4 linked regions of the Arabidopsis thaliana genome follow. The protein of the gene in region 1 interacts with the protein of each later gene in a pairwise test. Each region holds a gene or a part of one and is shown in the gene's direction. Other genes may lie near its edges. The genes, in order: AT4G31250, AT1G65690, UBC32 and PAP3.

What was found.
Region 2: the proteins of AT4G31250 (region 1) and AT1G65690 interact in a protein complementation assay, tested with the Arabidopsis thaliana proteins (one large-scale study listed by BioGRID).
Region 3: the proteins of AT4G31250 (region 1) and UBC32 interact in a protein complementation assay, tested with the Arabidopsis thaliana proteins (one large-scale study listed by BioGRID).
Region 4: the proteins of AT4G31250 (region 1) and PAP3 interact in a protein complementation assay, tested with the Arabidopsis thaliana proteins (one large-scale study listed by BioGRID).

Annotation. Positions count from the first base shown.
Region 1 is NC_003075.7:15,178,282-15,184,187, reverse strand, and holds AT4G31250 (Leucine-rich repeat protein kinase family protein), read left to right. Parts: upstream 1-2,250; 5' UTR 2,251-2,436; coding exon 2,437-3,106; intron 3,107-3,384; exon of another isoform or gene 3,385-3,539; coding exon 3,540-4,226; exon of another isoform or gene 4,227-4,313; coding exon 4,314-4,987; 3' UTR 4,988-5,263; downstream 5,264-5,906. Other genes in the region: AT4G31270 (sequence-specific DNA binding transcription factor), read left to right, coding at 1-138, 467-897; AT4G31260 (uncharacterized protein), read left to right, coding at 1,401-1,595.
Region 2 is NC_003070.9:24,430,832-24,435,076, reverse strand, and holds AT1G65690 (Late embryogenesis abundant (LEA) hydroxyproline-rich glycoprotein family), read left to right. Parts: upstream 1-1,911; 5' UTR 1,912-2,178; coding exon 2,179-2,641; intron 2,642-3,139; coding exon 3,140-3,435; 3' UTR 3,436-3,660; downstream 3,661-4,245. Other genes in the region: LSM8 (Small nuclear ribonucleoprotein family protein), read left to right, coding at 249-300, 380-432, 524-614. UniProt on the Arabidopsis thaliana protein: Plays an important role in the abiotic stresses-induced abscisic acid (ABA) signaling and biosynthesis. Acts as a positive regulator of ABA-mediated seed germination inhibition. Functions downstream of ABF2/AREB1, ABF4/AREB2 and ABF3.
Region 3 is NC_003074.8:5,795,213-5,800,657, forward strand, and holds UBC32 (ubiquitin-conjugating enzyme 32), read left to right. Parts: upstream 1-1,717; 5' UTR 1,718-2,083; coding exon 2,084-2,194; intron 2,195-2,682; coding exon 2,683-2,814; intron 2,815-2,912; coding exon 2,913-2,997; intron 2,998-3,136; coding exon 3,137-3,300; intron 3,301-3,817; coding exon 3,818-4,255; 3' UTR 4,256-4,535; downstream 4,536-5,445. Other genes in the region: NRPB9A (RNA polymerases M/15 Kd subunit), read left to right, coding at 112-270, 407-487; AT3G16990 (heme oxygenase-like, multi-helical), read right to left, coding at 725-1,040, 1,136-1,353, 1,440-1,571; REM22 (AP2/B3-like transcriptional factor family protein), read left to right, coding at 5,248-5,352. UniProt on the Arabidopsis thaliana protein: Accepts the ubiquitin from the E1 complex and catalyzes its covalent attachment to other proteins.
Region 4 is NC_003070.9:5,056,764-5,061,831, forward strand, and holds PAP3 (purple acid phosphatase 3), read left to right. Parts: upstream 1-1,819; 5' UTR 1,820-1,916; coding exon 1,917-2,204; exon of another isoform or gene 2,205-2,622; intron 2,623-2,709; coding exon 2,710-2,866; intron 2,867-2,962; coding exon 2,963-3,070; intron 3,071-3,166; coding exon 3,167-3,294; intron 3,295-3,597; coding exon 3,598-3,726; intron 3,727-3,820; coding exon 3,821-3,888; coding exon of another isoform or gene 3,889-3,892; exon of another isoform or gene 3,893-4,002; coding exon 4,003-4,225; 3' UTR 4,226-4,377; downstream 4,378-5,068.

The DNA of each region.
Region 1 (5,906 bases):
TTAATCTCCCGGGGGATATCGATATCGAGCTTTTTGAAGCCATCAATGCGGTTGTGATGATCCAAGATGAAAAAGCTGGGACTGAATCTGATAGTGACCCTGAAGCGCAAGACGTTGTTGATCTCTCTGCTGAATTAGGTACACTATACACTATCCTTTTCTTGCCCCATTACTAAATGAAACTAGGCCTTTAAGGAATCTTAAGAACAAATAGTGCATAGACAGACTTATTCACTTCTTCAAGATACAGAATGACGAAAATTGTCGGTGTAGTTATAGTTGAAATATATGTAGAACACTTTGCTACCGTGAGCTACACTATGATTATATTGCTCTTTTTGTAGTCACCATCTTCAGGTAAACTCTGAACTGCTATATTTGGAGTTACTCGGATCAGTCCAGAATCACTGACACACTGACACTCTTCTTATGCTAACCATTTGAATCACTCTGGTTTTAAATTCAGCTTTTGTAGGATCAAAAAGATCAAGACAGCGAACAATGGTCATGAAGGAGACAAAGAAAGAAGAGCCACGGACTAGCCGAGTTCAAGTAAACACTCGAGAGAAACCTATAACTACAAAAGCAACCCATCAGAACAAAACCATGGGAGAGAAGAAGCCGGTGGAAGATATGTCCACAGATGAAGAAGAAGATGAAACAATGAACATAGAAGAGGATGTAGAAGTGATGGAAGCGAAGCTAAGTTATAAAATTGACTTGATACATGCGATAGTCGGGAGAAATCTAGCAAAGGATAATGAAACAAAGGATGGTGTTAGTATGGACGACAAGTTGAAGTCTGTGAGACAGCAAGGAGACGAGCTCATCGGTTGTCTGAGTGAAATTGTTAGTACCCTTAATAGGCTTCATGAAGTTCCACAAGAAATCGAGTGATTTACAATGTGAATAAACTATCAGTTGTAAATGCTTAGCCATGAATCGTAATAATGTTGTAGACTTGTAGACTTTCAAAAGCTGTCTGTAATCTGTCAAGTATACATACAAAACAGGGCAAAAGCATAAAAATCCGACTCCACTGGGGATCGAACCCAGAATCTCTGGTTTCGTAGACCAGCGCCTTATCCATTGGGCCATGGAGTCTTTTGTGTTTAACAATTGGAAATCGACTTTGTATAATAATTCGTACTGATTCTATACTTTCAAGCTATGCAATATATCCCAATGTTCTTTAGTATCTTACCAGCTTGTGGATTTGGTGTCCCCAAAGTGTATAAGATTTAACAATGTCATAAGTAACATAGTAAGAGGTTACATAGAATTTGTTCAGAGAATGTTGCAAACTGCAAAAAAGAAGAAGATAAATTATGGCTTTGGCACAGCTCTCGCTTGATTCATGGCATCCATAAGATGAGCCCTCAAAGCATCCGGATCACGCAATGATGGGCTTGAAGTCAAAAGTACCTGGAGGAAGAAACTCCTTGGAGAGCTTCCTCATTGCCTCCAAAGCAGCCGGTTCTATCATTCGTAGCTTATACCCAGACAAAGTTAAGTCTGAAATTCCAATTCAAGATATCCGATCTTGCGGTGGTGTTCTCGCTTCCGTCCAGACTCCAAATATATTTTCTGTCTGAATATCAATTACGAAATAAAGGGATCGCCATCCAAAACACACACATTTATAACGACCTATACAAGACGAGCGTGGTTTTAGTTTTACACTTTTTAATTAACTGTTTTATGTTTACCAAGCTCCTAATTTGACATGAAATATGGAGCCAAAAGTTTTGTAGAACAAAAAGCTGTCGTTGATAAAGGGATATTATTTCAGACATTGCAGGATTGAGTAACACACCGTTCTTTGCTCCACAACAAAATAAAGTATTTGATTGGTGATGATTACAATTTACAAGTTTACAACAAGAAAGCTTCAAAATAAAGCATTTCTGCACTTTAAAAGATCGCTAAATCTGATAGAGGCCATTTGGTTATGGAAAGATATATAAACATTACAACATAAATTAACAAAATAAGGATATCTATAAGAAAATCCATGAAACTACACTATGTTTTGGATTGCGTATATATTTTAGACTAAATAAAAAATAGCAACTAGTAATATTTGCGCGATAAATAATGTGGAATGCAATACATTTGAATTTCTTAATCATATTTTGGTTACAAAAATCTAGTACATATATAAACACACGTAATCAAGGTATATAATAAAAAATCTATGAGTAATCATACCATGGACAAGCTTACACAGTACTTGGTTCCACGTTGTTGGCGAAAACGATTGTGTGCTTTGACCTTTGCTGTCATTCACCATCAGCCGTCCTTTCATACTTCTTCCGGCAAGTCTCCTCTCATTTGATTAATTCATAGAGAAGCCGTCCAACAAATACGTCTTCCGACGTATAAATCTCTCTTCTTCCTCTCAAATCCCAAAAATTTCGATTATTTTTCACCGAAATGACCCGTGATGACAAATTCCCGATCGTATACTCTCTGTTATTGATCGTCTTGCTCTTCGTTTCTCCTATCTACGGCGACGGTGATGCTGATGCTCTATTGAAGTTCAAGTCATCTCTCGTGAACGCCAGCTCGCTCGGTGGATGGGACTCTGGTGAGCCTCCTTGCTCCGGTGATAAAGGAAGTGACTCGAAATGGAAAGGAGTGATGTGTTCAAACGGCTCCGTTTTCGCTCTCCGTCTAGAGAACATGAGCCTCTCCGGTGAGCTTGATGTTCAAGCGCTCGGGTCCATCCGCGGTCTCAAGAGTATCAGCTTTATGCGTAACCATTTCGAGGGAAAGATCCCTCGTGGAATCGACGGGCTTGTTTCGTTGGCGCATCTTTACCTTGCGCATAACCAGTTTACCGGTGAGATAGACGGTGATTTGTTCTCCGGGATGAAGGCTCTTCTGAAGGTTCATCTTGAAGGAAACCGGTTTTCCGGTGAGATTCCGGAGTCGTTAGGGAAATTGCCGAAGCTTACTGAGCTGAATCTTGAGGATAATATGTTCACCGGGAAAATACCGGCGTTTAAACAGAAGAATCTCGTCACCGTTAACGTTGCTAACAATCAGTTAGAGGGTCGAATTCCGTTAACTCTCGGCCTTATGAACATCACTTTCTTCTCAGGTATGAATCATCATCATCATCAAATCTGTTTATTTTTCTTTGATTAATTATCATCTGAACATCTTTCATATTATAATCTGATGTATATATATATATATATATATATATATATATATATATACTGGCAACACACAACATTTGTGAAAATTTTCCTAAGGACTAGACTTTATGTAATTATCACTATTCATGGGAAAATTTGAACATATTGGTCTTGGAGCCTTTGGTGAGTAGTAGTGAGCACGTTATTAGGCATTAAATTTTGCATGTAATAAAAAAAAATGTTTGCATGTAAAAGTTACAATATGAAATTTTATTTCTTCTTTTGACAAAATATTTGTGGAAAATACTCTCTTTGAAATGATTATTAGTGGGCCTATTGATAAATGGGCCATGTATGATGTTAATTAAATAATTCGTTTGGGCCTTAAAACAGGTAACAAGGGGCTGTGTGGAGCGCCATTGCTTCCGTGCAGATACACTCGTCCGCCGTTCTTCACCGTGTTTCTCCTTGCCCTCACCATCCTCGCCGTCGTAGTGCTCATTACCGTCTTTCTTTCCGTTTGCATTCTCAGCCGCCGTCAAGGCAAAGGACAAGACCAAATCCAAAACCACGGCGTCGGCCATTTTCACGGACAAGTCTACGGACAACCCGAGCAACAACAACACAGTGAAAAGAGCTCACAGGACTCCAAGGTCTACAGAAAACTAGCTAATGAAACTGTGCAGCGAGATTCAACAGCAACATCAGGAGCTATATCCGTGGGAGGTCTCTCTCCAGATGAAGACAAACGAGGAGATCAACGGAAGCTACATTTCGTTAGGAATGATCAGGAGAGGTTCACGCTTCAGGATATGCTCCGTGCATCGGCGGAGGTTCTCGGAAGCGGCGGATTTGGATCTTCGTACAAAGCGGCTTTATCGAGTGGTCGTGCGGTGGTTGTGAAACGGTTTAGGTTTATGAGTAATATCGGGAGAGAAGAGTTTTACGATCATATGAAGAAGATCGGACGATTGTCTCACCCTAATCTCCTTCCGTTGATTGCATTCTATTACAGAAAAGAAGAGAAGCTTCTCGTTACCAATTACATTTCCAATGGAAGCCTCGCTAATCTCCTCCATGGTAATATTATGGAACTCTCTAAGTGTCTGTTTATCTTCATCCAATGAAATGAGGAATCTGATGAGTTTTGTTGGATTGATTTTGCAGCTAACCGAACACCAGGTCAAGTGGTTTTGGATTGGCCGATTCGATTGAAGATTGTAAGAGGAGTTACGAGAGGATTGGCTTATCTCTATAGAGTGTTCCCTGATTTGAATCTTCCTCATGGCCATCTCAAGTCTTCCAATGTGTTGCTTGATCCTAACTTCGAGCCTCTACTTACGGACTACGCTCTTGTCCCGGTTGTTAACAGAGATCAATCACAGCAGTTCATGGTGGCTTACAAGGCACCTGAGTTCACTCAGCAGGATAGGACTTCGAGAAGATCAGATGTGTGGAGCCTGGGAATCTTGATTCTTGAGATTCTGACAGGGAAGTTTCCGGCGAATTATCTCAGGCAAGGGAAAGGAGCTGATGATGAGTTAGCTGCTTGGGTTGAGTCTGTAGCGAGAACCGAGTGGACTGCTGATGTGTTTGATAAGGAGATGAAAGCAGGGAAAGAGCACGAAGCACAAATGTTGAAGCTGCTTAAGATCGGGTTGAGATGTTGTGATTGGGATATTGAGAAGAGAATTGAGCTTCATGAGGCTGTTGATCGAATAGAAGAGGTTGATAGAGATGCTGGTGGAGGTCAAGAGAGTGTTCGATCTTCATACGTGACTGCTAGTGATGGTGATCATCGTTCTTCAAGAGCTATGACTGAGGAGTTCTCACTCATGTAATAGCTTCCATTGAAAGGCCTGTATCTCTCTCTGGTCTTTCCACTAGTCTTATTCTTCATCTAATTCTCGTTTCCTTGATATTTGTTGATCAAGTTCGTGTCTTTGTTTGTAGGTAATGAGAATTACTTTTTATTTTTTATTGCCAGGGTTATTTATTCGCATTCAGTTTTTTTCCCCCTAGTTTTAACAGATATGATTGATGAGTAAAGCTTCAAGCTTTTGTTCTTTTGTTGATTTTTTCACTTTTCAGCTATTTCCCCATTTTGTGAATATTAATTTCGTGCCATACTTTGGTATCATCTAGACGCAAAAGAATGTCTTTTATGTCCATTTCGTATTCAACTTGTCCACTTTCTGATGCAGTGTTGAGATAAGCAAGAATATAAAATTAATGGTTTTCACAAGCTTGTTGCTTTAGATATTGGGTAACCTAACCTTGTAGATGGTATATTCTTTGAGGATATTTTGATTTACTTTTACTTGTTCTTTTGAGAGAGACTTCAATAAAGTTTAAGTTTATATCTTTTTTTTTTCTATTTATATTTCCTTGTCCCCATGTGATTTCATTTATCCCCTTTTCTTGGAATTTACAAGCTTAATCAACCGAGAGGCATATCATCAATAAGGATTAAACCTGTGTGGAAATTTTGTTACAATCTACTCTGTATTGAAACTTGTTTCGGTATAGTTTCCTCGTATCAAAGGTTATACCACCATCTCTCTGGTATCAGGTATGTTAAGTTTTGTTTATTACTTTTCTCAACAGGCCATCTGAGACAGTTCATCGTCTGTAAACCCTGTTATAATTGGTCTCTGTTTCAGTTTTTTAAAGTTGTATGTTCCTTCAAGTTTTGTTCTGGGTTTCTGATGTTTTGTAACTGGTCTTGATATGTATTTCTGTATGTTTGATCATTTCATG
Region 2 (4,245 bases), on another chromosome or scaffold:
TCTGAATGGAAGTATCTAAATCAGATAGTGTTGGATACACCGAAACAGATTTAGTGTTAGTATTCTTCGAGTGTTATAACTGATTGAAAAAATCTTGTGAGTTCATATGTCAAAAGATTTAGCTAGTGATAGGTAAGTCAAATACGTAGATATTGGCAGTGTGTAATTAATTATACATGATCACCTCCTTTTTTTCGTAAGAGGGTTAAAGGTTTGATTCATGTCTGTTTTCTTGTTTACACTAAGAGTATGTCAGGTCATGTTGATACTTCATTAGACAAATGTTCTTGGATATTTTTGGTGTGAAGGCAGAGTTCTGTTAAAATGATGGATATTGGAATTAGGATTGAGACCTCTTACTATGTCTTCATCTTTGCAGGAAGGAGTACAACAACATGTGTTGGGTTTGTACATCATCAGAGGGGACAACATGTAATTCTTATCATCCATCATCATCAGTGATTTTCTAACATTGCAATTGTTTTTTTGTTTCAATAAAAAAAATGGTGTCATCTTTGATCAGAGGTGTTATCGGGGAGCTGGACGAGGAGCTTGATGCTAGTCTGGATTTTTCGAAGCTGAGAGCCCATCCGTTGAAACCCGTAGTGCATTGATTGAATATAGTTATGGTGAGAAAATCTAATTCTCTCATTCAAAGCCTAAAAACAAAGAGAAGATTTGATTGTAAACAATTTGGATAGTTTGTTTTGATGTCTGGAGTTGTCTTATTTGTGTATCCTAAGGACAAAAGCTATATGATATTTTATGTCTTAAACGTTTTGGTCGGAAACTTAAATCATACAATCTTTTGGACGGACCTAGGTTTGCTACTAGACCACAAATTCTTTGATTAGAAAAAAAACTTTTATTGTTAACCAAAATTTTATAGATATTCAAATTGCAAAAGAAAAAAAAAAGAGGAATTAGTTTCTGGTATCTTACAAATTATAATGTCGTTGCAATTTCATCTAGAAGGATTATATACATCATCAAATCTATCAACATCAACAAATGGCCGTATTTAAAACTTAGAAGCATCATACATTTTCTATAAGACAACAATATAGATATTAACTTAATATGTCATTCTCCCATAGTCGCATCATACAAGTCGTTGGTTTTGGTAATAACTCGCCAAAACCAAACACTTCTGATTTCATCGGAGTCTTGGGTCTTCTTTTACGATTCCAATGTAATATTCTTCATATTAAGTGATTTATTTCTTGAAATTTTTCATAGTAAGTGTTATCAGAAGCTTTTGATTTTTGGTTATTAATATGAAGAACAAAAGAATTGCGTTCTAAAAATTTTTCGTTGATAACGATTAATATTAAACAGAAACACTACAAATAAATTAACATCGTTGGGGCCTAGGGATTTCGAATGGAATTTTATTTGCAAAAAAAATAATAAAATAAAGCATGTTAACAAAAAAGTAAAAGAAAAAAAATTCATGACGAAATGCATGAGAACACTGCTGCATAAGTCTTAGGGGATTAGGTCAACAAAAGTAAAGTAGATCTTCATCAAATGTATTTTGACTTTATAATGTACCTATTAGTCAAACTATATGCGATCTAAATATTAAAAACTTGTATTTTCTCAAAGACAATGCGAGGCGTAAATATATGAAATTTTATTTTGTAGATTAAGTACCATTTATATATGAAATATAAATAAATCAAGAAGAGTAAACATGAAAGAGCAAAAGAGTAAATAGAAAAAATTATAGGAAATAAAAAGAAACAAATAGTAATTGGAAAATATCTTAAGTGGATATAACTTTTAGTTGTTTGATAATGTATAGGACTACAATATATGTATTTTCCAAAAAGTCATCCTAATTTTTCCATCTATATTGCAAGTAATTTGATACCTACTAATGATTTTTATTTTTTTTATTTGATGGGTTCACATCAAACTCAATTTCCATAAAAGACCGCTACCTAAGCAGACACGCAAATTCACATTACACGTGTGATGTGTTGTATGGAAGCGAATGTACTTGTTTTTCATAATCTATAGGTTCATATAGAGAAGTCTCTCCATTGAAAAGTTCTTCCCTCTTGACTTTAAAAACTCCATAAGGTCCCTACTTATATTAATTTCCCAAACCCCTAAATAAGATCTACAAACAAAGCTTCTTCTTCTTCTTGGTGTCATCAAGATTTTCCAAAAATGTCTCAACACCAAAAAATCTATCCGGTCCAAGATCCAGAAGCCGCAACAGCGCGTCCAACAGCTCCTTTGGTTCCTCGTGGTTCCTCTAGATCAGAACATGGAGACCCATCCAAAGTCCCTTTGAACCAAAGGCCACAACGGTTCGTGCCGTTGGCTCCTCCAAAGAAGAGAAGAAGTTGTTGTTGCAGATGCTTTTGCTACACGTTCTGCTTTCTTTTGCTTCTTGTCGTTGCAGTAGGCGCATCCATTGGTATACTATACCTTGTCTTTAAACCGAAGCTACCGGATTACTCTATTGACCGGTTACAGCTCACCCGGTTTGCACTGAACCAAGACTCGAGTTTGACTACGGCTTTTAACGTGACTATAACCGCTAAGAATCCGAACGAGAAGATTGGAATTTATTATGAAGATGGGAGCAAGATTACCGTGTGGTACATGGAACATCAACTAAGCAATGGTACGTCACTTTTGGTTTACTCCGGTTTGCTTTCTTTTGGTTTTTTAACGTAGGAAGGCTTCAAAATCTCACTACAAAACCGGTTTATTTGGTTGATTTCTGTTCTTTTCCTTTGGTTTGGTTCGTACACAAGGAAGACTTTAAAACTCTTTTCAAATTAGGGATGTCTAAATTTTTTTGGTTGGCTTTGGGTTTACTTTCATTTTGGATTAGGATTGTCAAATACTGTATATCTTTAGTTTCAAACAAAATTTGGTTTAGATAGTTTTTGTTCGGTTCATATTCAATAGTTCGGATATAATAGAGTTAATTCATTCAAATCAATCGTTTTTGGTAGAGTTGGATCATACCGGTTTATCCGGACTGAAAACCCCAAAACTAAACATATTTATTTATGTTGTTTGGTTTTCTTGTTTGATTATAATTCGTTTACACCATTTCAAACCGGGTCTTCTTATAGATTTAACTTCATTGAACTTTTGTGATTTTTTTGAATAGGGTCGTTGCCAAAATTTTACCAAGGACATGAAAATACGACAGTGATATACGTAGAAATGACTGGTCAAACACAAAATGCATCGGGTTTAAGGACGACATTAGAAGAGCAACAACAAAGAACCGGGAATATACCATTGAGAATTAGAGTAAACCAACCGGTTCGGGTCAAATTTGGGAAGTTGAAGCTCTTCGAAGTAAGATTCTTGGTCAGATGTGGTGTATTTGTTGATAGCTTGGCTACCAATAATGTTATTAAGATTCAAAGTAGTAGTTGCAAATTTCGTCTTAGGTTATAGATCCGTTTTTTTTTATATAATTAATATCGAGATATACAGAGGGAATTTTGTCAGATATAGTCACATACTCATATATAGTTCTCCTCTAAAGTACATTATTGTGTCTCAGACCTTTGTTGTATAATAAACTGTTGGTTTAAATTAATATATTAAAGTATACAATACTATGTACATAGGTGGAATTCAAAGTATAGTAGTTGTAAGTTTTTAAAACCAGAGCATGTCCACCACTCCACCTTACCTTCTTTTAAGCAAACAATTGGTTGAAGGTAGACTCCAAAATTCAGTTTTAACTACTTACAACTTAAATTGGAGGTAACTCCAAGATCTTAGTTATGAATTCAAATTTGCATTAGATTTACTTGTTCCAACAATTACTTCTGGTATTCTAAAGCAAAGACCAAACTCAATAAATAAACCTTATGGTAAGACATTCCAAGCAACATGAAAGAGATAATAAAGAGACATAGATATATAGAACAAACTGAATTTTTGCGAGAAGAGAGAGACATGTAGAAAAGAAACGCTAAAAGAACTTACACAAAGAAGATTCATGTACTTAACTTGTGACAGTCCTCTGTAACAATTTGAGAACTATCCTCATGAAGTAAGGTCCTGAATCAAAAGTACAAAGAAACAAATTCCTAGTTCAAGTTATATACCAAACCGAAGTCTTTGTAGTTGTACAACCAGTTTCAGGAGGAAGGCTACCTTTGAAAGGTATTGTAACACTGGCTAGAGAATGAGCATAATGTCGATAATTTTTCTTTTGATGAAAAAAGATTTAGAGAATGGCAAAAAATATAATAT
Region 3 (5,445 bases), on another chromosome or scaffold:
AAGCTGCATTATCAATCTTGTTGTTACAAATTGACAGATTAGATTAGATCATGTAAATGGGTTTGTTGTCCTCATCTCAGAATTTATACTTTTTGTGGCACTGACTTGCAGGAGGTAGCTGATAACAGCTGTGTGTACAGAAACGAGGTTCATCACTCTGTAAGTGAGCGAACTCAGATCTTAACAGACGTGGCTTCTGACCCTACTCTTCCCCGAACCAAGGCTGTGCGTTGCTCTAAGTGTCAGCATAGGGAGGCCGTTTTCTTCCAGGTATAACTCTCTTAAGCTCCATTATTTATTTAACTACTTGGTTATGCTGTATCTTCACTGTTTGCTTCCCCAAAACATTATGCTCAAATTCTGTACACCGCTTGAGGATTTAATGTAGCTATCATTGAATGTGCAGGCTACGGCTAGAGGTGAAGAAGGAATGACACTGTTCTTTGTCTGTTGCAACCCGAATTGTGGTCATCGCTGGAGAGAATAAAGAGCTTTTCGGTTTCAATTGGTGAGTTCTTAAGAGTTTTAGGAGTTGATGTAGTTACCAGTAAGTGTAATATGTGGAATGACGGGAACAACCTTCTGCCCCAGTCAGAGACAAATCCGTATTCATGTAATCTGTTATGAAACCATAATCTCAACTTGTGTTTCACCAAACATAAAGATTGGAACTTGTTTCTCTTTGGCATTTAGAGGAAATGAGAAATTCAAACCCAAACATTAGCTACTGTCCTCCACGGCTCATCTCCCAGAAGGCAACCTCTAGTTCAAGAACTCGTACAAGTACATCTTCAGCTTCACCGAGCACCTCACCGGAGGCATTCTCCAGACAACGTTCGGCAATGTTCTTGACAGACGAACAATACTGTTTAAACCCGTCATTCCCCCAACGATGACAAGCACCGGTAAGCTCCACCGGAGTTTTGTTCCCGTCTTCTAAACAATGAGCAAAGCTCTCTTGATACACTGCTTCAATTGCCCAGAAAGCTGTCATAATCACCGGATACTTCACCTCACTGCTCATCAGATCTTCCAAAAACCTGAATTAACCAGAAACTCCGGTTTATTTGCTGGTTCCTAATTTCATTTTCGAGTGTGAGAAATCTATTCAATCAGCATATATGAAATCAATAACCTGCCATATTCTTGATTAGCTCTTTGAGGCACAACGGTCGAGAAATCAACATCCCATTTCGATCCTTCTCTTTTAAACCATTCTATTTCATCATTCAACGATGCTATACCACCAAGCACCACTTCCATATCGGAACTCTCGCCGGAATCTTTGCAAGCTCTGATCAACACACTCGCTACAAACGGCACAAACCTCCTCACGAACAGATAATCTTGCCCCTACAAGGAAACAACGTCGTTTAAAAGTCATCGAGTGAGATTTCATATTTTGCCTTGTTTTCATCAGTAATTACTAATTACAGTACCAGCCAAGTTCTGAAGGACGAGAGATCAACGGATCCGTCACGGATCGAGACGACAAAAGCATGACGTGTAGCCGCCGTATAGATCGAACGGTGCTTATCAATCCATGTGTCGATCACCCCTCTCTTCTCCATTGAAATTGCTTCTTCTTCCTTTCTCTCAAGACTCAAGACTCAAGACTCTTCTTCTTCACCGATTCACTGTCAACGCTTTGATTTTCTGTTGTCTGTGACGTGCACGTTTCATTGGGCTTTAAATTAATGGGCCAAGGCCTATTAAAGTCTCGCCACGATAGCTTAATGATTCTCCCAAATCGACGGCTGTAAAGAGGCGCTTAAATTTCTCAGATTACGTGACAGTTTCTGAACCGTTGAGATGTTTGGATGACTAAAGTTTATTAATTACGTGGCACTTACTCAGAAGCTCTCTCACGTCACGTATCCGTCGTTAAAGAGTGTGACGTGGAAAATGTTTTGGAATTAATTTTGTGTGTTTGTATTATATCACCGTACTAATTAGCTCATCTCCCGAAGCCATGTGGTAATTCTAATTTTGTGTATTTATTATTTTCTGTTAAGACGAATCGGACAGAGAGAACTCCGGCGGCGGATTGCACTTCCGGCAAGATCTCGTGGGGATAAATAAGATGGCGGATGAGAGGTATAATCGGAAGAATCCGGCGGTGAAGAGGATTTTGCAGGAGGTTAAGGAGATGCAAGCTAATCCGTCTGATGATTTTATGTCTCTTCCTCTTGAGGTAACATCTCCGATTCTAGCTTTTTAGATCGGGAATTTTGATTCGAATCTATATTTGAAATTTCCTTTTTTGAGAAAATCCCCTTGTCTTATGTTGTTGTGTTATGTTGTGTTGTGTTGTAATTGTGTATCTGTTCTGAGTGATGGTGTTTGATTTTAGGCGATCATGATTAGGGAGGATCGATATATCTTCTTGTATACACTGAATTTACTAAGTCTCTCTACTTTCAACACTCGTGCAACAGATAAAGTTTGGATTTTTGTGTTTTTATTGGAATAACTGAGTCAAGTGGGGAAGATTACGAACGATTCCTTGATCCACTCAGCTGTCATACTAGTTCTTCGTTTCTAATTTTTTTAACTGTGAAGACTTTTTCCAACATGTCATGGTCCAAATAGATTGCGCGCGATGTTATAGCTGTTTTTTACAAGTTCTTGTGTGATACCAAATAGTTTACATGATTACTCTTATCTATCTTTTAACTTCAGGAGAATATCTTTGAGTGGCAATTCGCCATCCGAGGTCCTGGTGATACTGAATTCGAGGGCGGGATTTATCATGGGAGAATTCAGTTGCCTGCAGATTATCCATTCAAACCTCCTTCATTCATGTTATTGACCGTAAGGATCTTACTCTTATTTCATATATAAAAACACACAGATGTTGCAAGTTCCATAAGAGAGTATGTATCTAAAGAATCTCTGTACTTTTGTTTCAGCCTAACGGGCGCTTTGAAACTAACACCAAGATTTGCTTGAGCATTTCAAACTACCACCCTGAGCATTGGCAACCTTCATGGAGTGGTAAAGTCATGGATCTCAAGAGACCTTATCTCTTGACTTTTATGTTGTTTCCTAAAAGATTACTCAGACACTTGTAATTTACATGAGGTTGAACTATATCAGCTCTTTTGTATTATGATTGAGCTTTGTTTCTTTTCAGTTCGGACTGCTTTGGTGGCTCTCATTGCATTTATGCCCACAAGTCCCAATGGAGCACTGGGCTCAGTAGATTATCCAAAGGATGAGAGACGTACACTAGCCATTAAATCACGTGAGACACCACCTAAGTATGGCTCTCCTGAACGGCAAAAAATTATTGATGAGGTATAGTTCCCCACTAGAATACCCTTGGGTGTTGAACCACTATGCATAATATCCTGATGAAAATATATGAATTTAGCTAGATGCTTGCTGAACCTGTAGAGTATGTGCCATACCATTGCATTGCATCATTATAAACCATAGGACTAGCTGGTGGTCAAAACGGGATCGCAATATATTATATATTAGGCTTGCATATCTCTAGCGGTTATGATTTAATGTTTGCTCTAAGAGTATCTGCTTTGTTTTAACTGCAATCACAGCTGTTATTATTCTCTCCATACAGTAAAATTTGCTGCTCAAGTCCTAACACACCATTTTACTGATTATTGTCGTTTTTAAAAAGTAGTCAGTTGCACAAATATAAAAAAAAAGACAATAGTAGTGTTAACAATCTCCTTTTGGTCTAAACTCTCGTCCCTTTCTTCATGATTTTTGTTATGACTTTAGTTTCATACCTCTGATTCATCTTCAATTTTGGAAAAAACTTTTAGTAACCATGACCTTTTAACAAGCGCAGATTCATCAGTACATCCTTAGCAAAGCAACCGTGGTTCCAAAACCTCTTCCTCTGGAATGTAGCCAAGCACCTTCCATCGTATCAGAAGCTCACTCCCAAGTTGAGCCACAGGAAGCGATAACTGTAGTAGAAGAGCGGTCCATCGCTACAACAGACACCATAGTTGATGATCAAATCATAGAAGAGACAGCTGAAGCAGTCAATACAGCAGCTAGTGTGGTTCCCGCTGCAGCACCTTTACCAGCGGTTGAAGTTGTGGTCAAAGCTTCTGTAAGTGGTGAGCAAAGGATGGCCAGAAGAGCGGCTCAGAAGCCAGTCGATGACAGACTCTTCACGTGGGCGGCGGTTGGGCTCACAATCGCTATCATGGTTCTTCTTCTGAAGAAGTTCATAAAATCAAATGGTTACAGTACTGGGTTTATGGATGATCAGTCTTGAACTCTGATGAAAGTCAATGCTGCGTTTAAGAAATGGGGTTGTGTTGTTTAATATTTTATAAATATAATTAAAGTGCATAATGGCGTAAATAATTTCTGTGTGACATTGTCTTGCAACTTAGTTGATAGATTGGATTATAGCTTGTGACCAAGTTAACAATATGTATTTTGGAATTGAACACTGACGACCGTTTTATCAATACATTGATGCTTTGTTAATAGAATTGTTGATTACCTCCACTATGTTCATAACTATTTCCCGTTTTGAGTACATGATGTCTAAAATGTATCCAAATTTTTAAATCAATAGATTTCATGGTCAAGTTTAACAATTTGATCATATATGTATGTATATGAACACACATGTAGTGAGTCGTGTGGTTTATATATTTGTGTGTATTTTCATTATAAATTACAGAAACATATTAGTTTTGGGGTATCTTCTGCACACATTAGTTTGGTGTGATCTCATCTTGTACCTTATTTTTTTACTTTTCAGTTTAGAAAAGGTTATCAACTTTGACCTTTGACTGCCATATAACGTTAAAAAGAGAAAAAGTTACCGAAGGTTCAAATTAATAAATGAAGTTGATCGTAATGAAAATAATATTTTTTTAAAAAAGAAGGGATGGTGGCAAAAGAAGCTAAGTTAAAAGTCTATCAGTCCTTATTGCTCAGGGATCCTCAGGTACTAAAACTAGCAAACACTGCTTTTGCGTGTCTTTGAAGTCAGATTTTTAACAGCAATTGTTTCATCTGCCTATTACTATAAAATAAAAAAACACTTTGATTTATGGGAACGTGACTGCTTTTTCCACTATTATAACCTTGACTCGTTTTTAATGAAAAGAAGCATACATATTTGGATACTCACTTTTGCCCATTTATAACACCAGAGAGAGAGATATAGGGATAGGGCGAGAGAGAGTTATACTAAAGAAACTTGAAGGAGAGGAGGTTCTGAGTGAGATAGAAGAAGGAAGAGAGAGAGAGATGGGTAAGAGTAGTAACATAGTTTTTGATCGGATTAAAGAAGAACGGCAGATGTTGAGCTTTTTCAAGATTTTTCAGAGGGCAGATCTATCCTCTGACTGCATGGTAACGTTGTTCTTGATATCTTTGTTTGAAAAGTGGGAATCTTTTTCTTCTTTTTGTTGAATGGGTTTCAAGTCTACGGCTTATTCATCTTTT
Region 4 (5,068 bases), on another chromosome or scaffold:
TTTTCATAGGATAAGCCATTCAAAATATCAATTACAGTGACTATTGAGTATTGACTAATATTATTTGAACTCACAACTCACCTACATGTATTAATGTTTGCATTATTTTAGTGATTGCTAAAACACATAAGTGTCACATGACATATATATCATTGTTTAGGCTAAACATATTATATATATGGTCTATATTATAGATATCGATCCAAGTCTATTAGCCAATCCAACACTAAAACAATCCTCTTGTAAATGAGTAGCTCATGACGACATTATTCTGTTTCATTTTGGAAGCATTAGCATCATTTCCACACACACGTGTTGACCTAAAAAGGCCTATATTTGTTCTATTTATAAAGCCTTAAATTAAAGACTCAAGCAATATCACATGGATCTAATATATAATCATATGTTGCATAGAAAAAAAGAACAAAAAAGAAATAGAGAGAGGTGGTTGAATGATTTAGGCTTTACATCAAACCCACTGTTTCAATAATTTTGTTAGGTGTGTGTGTGTATGTGTGAATACAGCTAGAGAGTTTCACGAAGAAGCTGGTTGGTCAAAACTTTTGACTCGAAAGGAATTGCTGACAAATCGATCAATCAATTTGCTTCAGAGAGAAAAAAAAAACACATAAACACAATTGACATCTCTCTATCTATACGGTCCGATACTAGACTTGGCGAACCAAACTAAAGATACAGTAGGACACTGTGACTGTCTAGGACCACCAGAGATATTCAGTGAAGTTTCTATAGTCATCATAAGTCAATCTTGCTGACTACATCATACTAATAGGAACTATAGTCGTAAGGAACATATATACCACATTAAGCTTGTTTCTTTTGATTAACTCCTCAAGTTGTTTTCAAAATACTCGACGAACTAGACTGAATCAGCAATAAGACCAAACATGTAAAATAAACGTTGCAGAAGTTAATGCTCATTAGTTTTCTCTTTTGTAAGAACATACAAACACACAGGTGACAAGTTTTGGCCAAGAATTACAAAATAATATGATACCTTCATAGTCATACCTCAGAATTAATGTCCTAGTCGAGAAGCAGAAGTTTGTTTTTATAGATCTTTCTTTTCATTAGAGAAATGGGTATCGGCCCAATAACATAGGCCAACCCATTTGCATTTATTTTCTCATATCCAGTAAGGATATACTTTCAAATTTTTGTATAAATGGGATTTTGATTTTTCTTTAATATGTTGAACGAATTTAGTAAACTATTCACATTATTTTATGTTCAGAACTATACTGTAAAATAACTAACGGTCAACAATAATTGAGAGAATTTGGAAGTTTTCGTTAGACTCACATCAATAATGTGACTCAAAGCTAATAATTGCAATTTCCGACAAATTTGTGGCATGGGCGTTTATGCTGTCTTCTACTCTTCTTGTATGACAACGCACATACCCGAGCTTCGTAAATTTTATTTCTATTTTTTTCAAGTATATTTTGTTTTTAAAATGCGATTTTAGAAAGAATTTGTGTGATCAGAATTCACGGTGTAATAATAGTTTGTATGCATACTGTTGTTTGATGTGTCATAATCCAAATTTAGATAATATGTTTATGTATAATGTTAGAAATAAAAATGTAGTAGAAATTTACGTATATTTTCACTGATAATAGAAATTTTCAAATATCCTTAAACTGTCAATATCCAATTTCTTTATGTTTAAAATATTTCAACAGCTAATTTTCAACCGCTATTTATTTTATTTAAATTTATCTTGTCATTATATTTCGTTATTGATAAATATCTGAAAAAGTGGGTGACAAAAAAATTACCGATTCAAATTATTGTAATAAAATTGACAAATCAAAAGATTGAAATAGAAAACAAAAATGGACTACATTTCTCAAAATGGCAAATAATTTTTATTCATATTTATCAACCTCGAAATGACCTACATATATAGAGACACAAAGATCACAACAAAATCAACCATTCCTTTCCTTATCTTCTTCCTCTTTTGCTTTTCTAATCTCTCAATGGCTACCTTAAAACACAAACCTGTAAATTTGGTATTTTACGTTTATAATTTGATTATTATATTCTCCTCCCATAGTTCCACGGCGGAGCTCCGCAGGCTACTGCAGCCATCAAAAACCGATGGTACAGTGAGCTTTCTCGTTATCGGAGACTGGGGAAGAAGAGGCTCCTATAATCAGTCCCAAGTAGCTCTTCAGGTTACTTCTTATTTTCATTTACAAGTTATTTACTATATTTCTCGCCTGTACGCATATATATAAATATATAATGCAAATTCAATAGTGTATAATTAATACGTATTACGTAAACATATATATGCGTATGCCTTCAAGAGCATACGTGATATGAGGATCAAATTTACTGGTCTTCATATTAATGCCGGCCCTTATGTTTTTATATTATTCTTTTTTTTTCTTTTTTTTATTATTATTATTCAATTTCAATATATATTACTAATTCTTGAACACCATGTTATAAGATACCATAAAAAGAAAGAAAGTCATGTTAGAGGAACTTGAAAGATTCGGTCTGTGTTAAGAAAACAGCTTTAGTGTACGAAGATATTCTACATATGATTTTTGTTTGTACTGTTGTTTTGCAGATGAACTCAATGTGGTAAATTTTATGCTAGTTTGATGTTTTCTTTTATACTGTTGTTTTTAGTTATTTTATGCTAAATTATTTCACACGAAATTTAAACAGATGGGAGAAATCGGAGAGAAATTAGATATCGATTTTGTGATTTCTACTGGAGATAATTTTTACGACAATGGTTTAACCAGCTTGCACGATCCTCTATTTCAAGATTCTTTTACCAACATTTATACCGCTCCGAGCTTGCAGAAACCTTGGTATAGTGGTAAATGTGTGGTTCAATGTGTACATTCGTCGTTGGATCTTAATTATTAAACGATATGTGGTTCAATGTGTTAATTACATTTTCTTTAACCTAAAGTTTTAGGAAATCATGATTATAGAGGTGACGTCAGGGCACAACTTAGCCCTATGCTCAGAGCTCTGGACAACAGATGGGTTTGCATGAGATCTTTCATTGTAAATGCTGGTAATTCCTCCTATATAATATTTCTTCAAAAGTTAGAAATATTTTATTAATCCTCCAATTATTTTTTTATTTTTGTTAATTTCGTTAACTGAACAGAGATCGTCGATTTGTTCTTCGTCGACACAACTCCGTTCGTCGATAAATACTTTATTCAACCAAATAAGCATGTTTATGACTGGAGCGGTGTATTACCTAGGCAAACATATCTGAATAATCTCTTAAAGGTAACAATTTTTTAAGTAAATCTTCCTTTCTTTCTTTTTTCGTCGAAATAGAATTAATATTAACTTAGGAACGTCATTATATACGTGTTTTGGGCAAAACATTCCTTTTTCTTTTGTTATGATTGGATTTTTTTATAAAGTTATGATTGGATGTTAAACGCAGCTTTTATTTTGTCTATTTTCAAATGGAATCGCGTTTTAATTAGGTATGTAATGCGATATGATTAGAGAACAATCTGCCAATGCAACTTTTTTTCTTTTTACGAGCGAGTGACTAACGAAAGCTATAATGTAATAATATAGGAACTCGACGTGGCGTTGAGAGAGTCAGTCGCAAAGTGGAAAATAGTGATTGGTCACCATACGATCAAAAGCGCAGGCCACCACGGGAACACCATTGAGTTGGAGAAACACCTTTTACCTATTCTCCAAGTAACAAAACCATTCCATTCATATAATAAAGTTTATGCACCAATAGAAAAAATCTATCTAATTAAATCTGTTTTTTTTGTTCTCGATTTACTAGGCAAATGAAGTGGATCTCTACGTAAACGGACATGATCATTGCTTAGAGCACATAAGCAGCGTGGACAGGTAGAATAAATTTATTTATTTGTTCGTTAATTATTTTCTTATTAATCAATTATTGTAACGTAAGGGTCCACGTACGGGAGGATATAAAATGTCACCATTTTTGGTTGCATATAGTAACATACAATTTATGACAAGTGGAGGTGGATCCAAGGCCTGGAAAGGAGGTGACGTGAACTACGTTGAACCAGAAGAGATGAGGTTTTACTACGACGGACAAGGTTTCATGTCGGTTCACGTTTCAGAAGCTGAACTGCGTGTAGTCTTTTATGATGTTTTTGGACACGTTCTGCATCATTGGAAGAAGACTTACAAGGAGGCGCTTTATTTCGCTTCTTGATTCCAATTTAATCGGACGTAATTGTTTATGATCGATGTACTATGAAATTATCAATATCGTACTTCGTCGAATTTTCGAATCACATTATGATATGACAAGAACATATCAGCAGCATCAGAAAAAAAAGTCAATGAAATCTTTATTGCGTAAAAGTACAGTTTCAAACAAGATATTATTGAAAATTTGTAAGATGTGAGATTAACTAGAAATACTGCATGCATATACTGTATATACATATCGAATCTAAGCATATTAAAATGTAAATATCATCCTCTCTTACGCTTCCATATTAATTAAGTTAATTAATTTTCGTTATTCTTATCCAATTTGATTAACAAGTTTTCCCGAAGCATGCGTGCATACAGTACTCTTGTGTAGTTTGTAGGGACACAAAATGGGTCCGATTCTCATCTATAAAGATAGATAATGATTTTGTTACATGTCTTTTGTCCTGTGCTCAGATTCTCTTCAATCATGTAATATATATAGATAAGTTATAGTGAATTATGGATTATATGATAAGATAAATGATATACAACTCTATGTTGTGGATGAGATTCTGTCACATAATTTCACAAGCCCCGGATCTCTCATATTTGATCGCAAGAACACTTTTGCTCATACCAAAATTATCTCCCAAAAGAAATATAATAGTCATTCTATTAAGGCTTATCTTATTTTACTTTTGGTGAGACTTAATAGAGTGGACAAAGGAATGAAGACATGGGCCACTGCCATGAACCATGGGACCGAACACACAGCTGAACTTGTATCACACAACAGAGATAAAGGCTTCATATCTTAGCTTTCGAATCCCAAAAAATATTCCAAGAAGAAAAAAAA